2 linked regions of the Kluyveromyces lactis genome follow. The protein of the gene in region 2 binds, or shares a complex with, the protein of the main gene of each other region. Links are inferred from orthologs where the notes say so. Each region holds a gene or a part of one and is shown on either strand. Other genes may lie near its edges.

Region 1 (3,155 bases), on a different chromosome or scaffold from region 2:
ATATTATTTCTGTATTGAAATATCGGTCTTGTTTATATAGAATCATTTTTTTTTTCCCTGTTTAATTCTCTATTACAAAGAATATTAGAAAGCAGAAGTGCTAAGGAACGGAACCAACAATCAGGAACAGCAACGGAACGACAGATTTATCGGCCGGACGATGAAGAACTGTACATTCTGGTAACGGCGTTATAACAGTACTGTAGGTATATCATATAAGATTTTATGATGACACCGGGTATATCTGCATCCTATAAGATTTATAGATTAGTAAACTGTCAGTGTTTATTGCTATGTGTCAAAGCATGCGGAAATGTTCGTTTCTGATGCAATGTATTTCATGTGATTACAAAGCAACGGCTGGATGTGTGCAATTTGGGGCTTAGAACTTAGAATTGATCGGTACATGATAAACTCCAAGCAGGTGAGAAGACGGCTTTAAACCACCAATGTGGCGTACCTTTTAGCTATAAGGTTTCTATTTGTCAGTGTTTAGATTGAATCTCGAACCCTTGATGATATCTGGTCACGTGGTCAATAATTACATACATTTTAACATCACATTATGAAGGGATATATACATAAATCACCTTGCCGCTTGTACCACACTCATACACCTGAACTCGTTCGAGTAAGATGCTTTCCATAACCGAATCTTACCATCATCTCCGGTACTACTTAGGATTGTACCTGTGAGATTCCAAGATACGGACCATACCTCGCCCTGATGGTCTGAATGTTCGCTGATCAGCTCGACGTGAAGGTTAGCCACTGATCCATCTGCATCAATGGCGGAGCTGTCAATGGGTGGGCCATCACGTTCTATGTTTGCATTGTTATCGTTTTCTTCGTTTATAATATTCGTACCGTTGTTACGCGATTCGGTTACTTTGAATATTCTTAATTTCCCATCTTTGCAGCCCGTAGCGATCAATTGGTACCACCTGCCCACTGATGGTGCCCACGCAATGGATCTGATTAATCCAGTGTGACCCTTCAAATGTCCTGCTGGGACCAATTTTCCCTGTTTGTTTCTTTGGTAGATAGTTGCCTGATCCATGGCACTGATAACTAATCTTTCTGTTGAAAATCTGGAGGGACACCAGGACAGACAAAAATCCGATTGTAGATGTGATGCAGGTGGAGTATTTAAGACGGTAATCTCGCTTGTCAGGGTCCATGACCTAAGATCGGAAGACTCTAACGCATCATAAAGACGTAACTTACCATCATTCCCCAATGCAGCTAGCCTTAGTCCCAAATGCGATGGAGCAAATTTTACGCTGAACAACGGTCCTGTCGCATCGTTCAACGTACAAAGTTTTTGCCAACGCTTTCCGGATAACTCAAGGGCATCTGGATCCTCCTCCCATAGTTTGATAGTCTTATCGTATGAGACACTCGCGATGATACGACCAAATTCTGGTGCGGCCCAATCAAGAGACACAATACTGCTATCGTGAGCCTTCCAACTTTCGCTCAATTCCCACTCATTCGTTTCCTTGTCTAGCTTGAACACCTTGATATGTTGGTCGCTGGAACATGTTGCGACTCGACGACCGTAAAAGTCATAACTAATATCGTGCACTAGGTCTGAGTGTCCTGTCAAAAACGGTTTCATGATGATAAAAGATTTTATCGGATTTACCACTAGATTGGTCGATAGAATAACTTCAACCTTCAAAGCCGTGAAGTGTAGATATCTCTCAACTCAGCTCAACTCTCTTTCCCTCTATCATGCAACTTTTAGCTTTCGTTTTCGAAAAGTTCGAAGTTCAATGTTTAAAGGATTCATATATATCGAAAATCAAAACACAATAATTTAAGAAAGCGCTTGGCATTTTAAATGCTAAGCTAAAAAAGTGCTTACTGAAGCTTTATATATAGCCAGTACCAGCTCAGGGAATGAACCATGCTTTCTTATTTTTTGCTACTGTTTGCTATTGCAATAATTGTATATTTTAAAGATGTATCTCCTATCGGATCTGCAGTAGGGTTTTCTGTAATTGGCTACGTGGCAGTTGATGTATTGATCCCACAAGTAGGTGATTCCTTCATCAAGATTGGTTTATTTGGCAAAGATATGAGTAAACCTGGTAGGCCAGTGATTCCAGAAACAATTGGATCTGTATCTGCTACAGTGTATTTGTTTATCATGTTCTTTTCGATTCCTTTCATGTTTTACAAATATTTGGTGATAACCTCTGGAGGTGGAAATAGAGATCTGGTTTCTCAAGAATCGACGGAGGAACAGCTATTCCCACATAGTAAGTTAAGTGAATTTTTAAGTGCACTTTTATGTCTTGAATCCACGATATTACTAGGTGCTGCTGACGATTTGTTTGATCTTCGCTGGAGACATAAATTCTTCCTACCAGCAATTGCTGCGATTCCATTACTTGTAGTCTACTATGTTGATTTTAGCGTTACCCATGTTTTGATCCCTAAGTTTGTACAAGAGTTAATTGGTACAAGCAAGACATCCATTGATTTAGGCGCTTTCTATTACTGCTATATGGCTTCGGTCGCCATTTTCTGTCCAAATTCAATTAATATATTGGCTGGTGTCAATGGACTTGAAGTTGGGCAGAGCATTGTCCTAGGCCTAATATTTATGATTAATGATGTGTTGTATTTAACTATGGGTGTGAACGGACATGCTCGTGAATCACACCTATTCTCACTTTTATTGATCGTCCCATTCCTCGGAGTCTCACTAGCATTGTTCAAATGGAACCGCTGGCCTGCAAAAGTATTTGTCGGTGATACTTACTGTTACTTCGCTGGTATGGTTTTCGCTGTAGTCGGTATTCTTGGACACTTCTCGAAGACTACGTTACTATTCTTTCTACCACAAATCTTCAATTTCATCTATTCAGCTCCACAAATATTCGGATTGGTGCCTTGCCCAAGGCATAGACTACCGAAATTTAACGAGAGTGATTGGCTAATGTACACATCACGAGCAGATCTTATAAAAGAAAAACCGAAGCCAGTAATGCAACCGATATTGAGACTTTTGCACAAATTGCGATTAATCGATTTGAACATCGATCCCAAAACAAATACAATTTTAGATTGCAGTAATATGACGTTAATCAATTTAATGATTGTGTGGTTTGGGCCTATGAGGGAAGATAAGCTATGTTACTCTA
Region 2 (4,248 bases):
TTACGTCGTGTAACTTCTTGAAAATGGATCCAGATCTTGGACTAGAATTGATGTTTGAATCTGTTGGTGCTGCAACCTCCGGAAAAATCCGTGCGAATCTAACTTTAGATAACCCTCTCCAGATTACATCATACGAAAATGGTATTTCGCTCTTTGAAATCATTATACCCATCTTCCAGTTGATTGCGTCAGTGTTACTCAGCTCAGGAACATCAAGCCAATACGTTTTCCGTGAGGCAAGAAAATTGATATCTCATTTCAAGCAATTGGTACAAGGCGCATTAAAGAGAGATGCATTACTTGAAAAGAATGGAGTTGAAACCAAACCAGAAGGACTTGAAGAATTTGTTCAACTCATCATTTTGGTTTGTACACTGACAAATTATTCTGGAGCGCAATAACGATCAGGGCAATATGGTTACATGATTATTAGATTGAACCAGCAAAGTACATAGGTTTCAATATATAGATTATCATAGTATTAACCTCAAGGTCAAAAAAAAAAATCATTTCTGAGACTTCGTCAACGTCTTGAGTTTTCCTTCAAGTTGCTGAGAGTTGTTCTCTAGCGACTTAAGAGCATCTAGGTGAGAATTTAATAACTGGATCAACTGAGCGTTTTCTTCCTTATTAGGGAAGCTTGAGTTTGTAGCCTTATTGAACGTTTCGCTAACTTCGTTTATTTCGGTAATCAACGAGGAAAGATTTAGTGACAAAGAGTTTAGGTTGTCGTCAAGCATTTCCACTGTATGATAGGCTTGTTGTCTCTTTTGATCATTCGTTTTGCTTGTGTTGTTATTGTTGCTCGAAGAAAGCACCTCAGATAGCAGATCTTCAGCCTTTTGTTCATAAGAATCGAGGAAATACTCAAGTTCAGATTGTTGTCTTTCGATATATGAGAGAGACTGATCTACTCTATTTTGAGATTGTTCAGCAGTTAATGTATCAGAGTACAACCGACTTATTTGTTCACCACCTTGCATTAATACTTTGTCCCACTGATTTATCTTCTTGGCGTAACTCTCAAAGTGATCTGCGGTTCCAGAAAGTTGGGAGGTCCATTTTGATACTAAGTCATCCAAAGTCTTATTGTCGAGGGAAACAGGTTCGATAGTAACGGGTTTAGTAGATGTCTTTGTTCCAGTTGTAGTTTCCTGCTTAGCACTTTCAGTTGTTTCTTTGGTAGTATCCGGTTTCAGACCGCCCAAAGAAAAGGAAGGAGCTTCAGTTTTCGTGTCTTTGGAAGCGGTAGTTTCCGCAGGTTTACTTCCAAAGCTAAAAGCAGGCTTTGAATCAACCTTAGTGTCAGATGTTCTGCTATCGGCAGGTTTACTTCCAAAGCTAAATGCAGGCTTCGAATCGTCCTTAGTATCAGATGATTTGCTATCGGTAGGTTTCGCTCCTAACGAGAATGCGGGGCTAGGATCGGCTTTATTTTCTGAGGTGTTGGACCCTAAAGCAAAAGATGGTTTTGATTCTGACTTTGACCCGTCAGTCTTGTTATCGAACGAAAAGGCCGCTTTGGAAGCTGACTTGGTATCTTCAGTCTTATTGCCAAAAGAAAACCCAGGCTTGGATTCGGTATCGTCAGCATTCGTGTTCAAGGATCCCAGAGAAAATCCCATTTTAGAGGCAGGTTTAGATTCTTCTGTTTTAGATCCCAGAGAAAATCCACTTTTGGTCTCCTCTTTACTGTTGCCAGATTTAACATTGAATGCAAAACCCTGTTTACTTTCTGGTTTGTCATTGGAAGGTTTAGAGGGTTCAGGAGCCACTGGTTTTGATCCAAAGCTGAAGGCTGGCTTACCGGCTTGTTCTGTCCCAGAGGGCTTTGCTCCGAAAGAAAATGCTGGTTTAGCATCTGTAGGCTTGTCCTCCGTTTTTGAACCAAATGAGAATCCTGTCTTTGCGCCTGAGGTTTTTTCTTCAGGTTTTGATCCCAGACTTAGCGAAAAACTTGGCTTGTTGGCATCTCCAGCGGCAGAACCAAAGTTGAACCCTGAAGTAGCACCGGCTGGTTTTGTATCAGTGTGGTTCCCACCAAAGAGTGATGTGGCATTTGTATTAGGTTTCGAGGTTTCAGTTGGTTTAGCGGAAGTTGTGAAGCTTGATGTTGAAGTTGTATTGGCACCAAATATTGGTTTAGAGGCATTGACACTCGGAGTTGTAGTCATTGCATTATTTCCAGATAGTCCGAAATTAAAAGCGGGCTTTGCATCGGTCTTTTGTTCAGGTTGTGTACCAAATGAGAATCCACTCTTGGGTTGAGTGTCTTTAGCCTGTTGCGACCCGCCAAATAGCGAAGAGCTACTTCCTGCTGCTCCTACGGAGCCAAAGCCACCAAATGTTGGTTTTGCTGCGCTTGTATTCGTGGTGTTGCTGTTGTTATTGTTCGCATTGCTGGCAGCATCGTTTGCGTTAAAACCTCCAAAAGCAGGTTTTGGTGCATCGCCTGTACCAGCAGTTGTATTAGAGGCACCAAACGAAAATGGCGAAGCTGCTGGCTTGACTGCATTAGCGCCCTGTTGTGTATTCATACCAAAGCCTCCGAATGCAGGTTTTGTTTGTCCATTGTCATTGGTAGTGGTCGCTCCAAACGCTGAAAATGCATTTCCCTGCTGCGTATTAGAGCTACCAGCAGCTGAACCGAAACTTGCAAAAGCATTGCCACTGGTCTGGCCTCCAGTATTGCCAAAGAGAGAGGAAGCACCTGTGCTGGTACTGGTGTTTCCTGTGGTAGATACATTTTGTCCTGATCCAGTACCGGCAAACAAATTGGAATTGCTGTTCCCACCGGAAGCATTTCCCGCTGTAGAAAAGTTGAAAGTGGGGTTTGAATTGAAACTCATTTTGTTGATTAACGAACCCTTGTAATTGTCCACTTCATAGACTAGCTATGCCTATTCAAACCAATTCGTTTGCCATTATGTATACAATTTTCAGTTTATTGTTTAATCATATCGAGTTTTATGATCTTTTCGATTTTAGAAAGAAACAAGGTCCAAAAAATTTGAGTGAGGGTAACCTTGATATGATGCATATACGGATGGACATATAAAGCTTGACTAGCCAGAGTAAGCTCTGTTTTAAAGTTTATTTCCTAATATTATAATGAATGTATAGTAAGATTTATATAATGTACAGAATTCAATCGGAGTAAACCGAGCTTGATGGCTTTTATGTCTTTCGATTCTCTCCTCCAATATCAATAACGGTTAACAATGGAATAGAGTTTTCCTAGGAACTATAAATCACATTACCAACTTTCTGGGTAATTTGATCCAAGAGTAAGGCATCATATTTGTGTTTTTGATCATCTCGTATATCTCAATGCATTAGGTTAAAGTTCCTTTTGAAAAAAAAAGAAAGAGAGGTGAAAGTAGGGGCAGACGTATCCCCTCGAATTAGTTTGTGGTTTTCATGTCTACAATTCTCCACGTTTCTTAGACGGAATGTAATTTGTATTCTCTTTGGGGGCTATGTGCATTGGGTGCTGCTATGTTGAGCCTGGCGAATTATTTGATTTCGCAAGCGTGGTCTTTCTTGAATGTGCTAGAGTGTCTAAAACTTCGTCAAACGCGCGGTCCATTTGTTCTTCTTGCTGTACTTCTTCCTCGCTACTATAATCGCTATCAGAATACCCATCACCTTTCTTCTCCTGCAGATTGGCTTCAACTCCTACGACCGTATTAGAACTTTGGTCGACAGAGGAACTAGAAGCAGTTGGTTTTTTGTCATCTGATTTCTTCTTGAAAATTTCGTCAATGGGAATTCCTTGATTGTTCAATTCATCAAGGAGTGACATAATATTAGATATATCTTGTTTCAAAAGGGCGTCTTTGATATATGTTCACTATCAAATCTTTCGCCAACCCTTCTCAAAATATCTGTGTTAAGCTCTTGGCCACGTTTGTTAGCGGTACTTTGTAGTTCATTCATTAATCCTCTACTTTTCCTCAAAACATCACCTTCTTCTTTCAACTGTTCTTTGGCTTCGTTCTGCACTTCACCGCTCGTGTATGTTAGTGCCACCTCGTCATCTGCAGGTTCATATGATTCTACAGATGGTTGATGGAAGGGTAACAAAGCGCTGTGGCCACTGGAAGCATATTTCGATGAAGAAAGTAAGGTGTTTAGTTTCTTCGGATAAGTTAAAGCTGTCGCAGATTGTGAAGTTAATGGTGATGGGCTTTCACGGTCATTTGACGTGGCTGCATTATGGGAATGGTAACCTGCGCTTCGCAAACT

What was found.
Region 1: NSP1 (region 2) and SEH1 share a complex: the UniProt entries of both Schizosaccharomyces pombe proteins name them as parts of the nuclear pore complex. The link is inferred for Kluyveromyces lactis from reciprocal best matches to the Schizosaccharomyces pombe genes nsp1 and seh1.

What each region holds. Positions count from the first base shown.
Region 1 is NC_006042.1:649,889-653,043, forward strand, and holds SEH1 (Seh1p), read right to left. Parts: upstream 1,622-3,155; coding exon 587-1,621; downstream 1-586. Other genes in the region: ALG7 (UDP-N-acetylglucosamine--dolichyl-phosphate N-acetylglucosaminephosphotransferase), read left to right, coding at 1,913-3,155. UniProt on the Schizosaccharomyces pombe protein: Functions as a component of the nuclear pore complex (NPC).
Region 2 is NC_006041.1:1,040,766-1,045,013, forward strand, and holds NSP1 (FG-nucleoporin NSP1), read right to left. Parts: upstream 2,850-4,248; coding exon 507-2,849; downstream 1-506. Other genes in the region: NUP192 (Nup192p), read left to right, coding at 1-401; MHP1 (Mhp1p), read right to left, coding at 3,826-4,248. UniProt on the Schizosaccharomyces pombe protein: Functions as a component of the nuclear pore complex (NPC).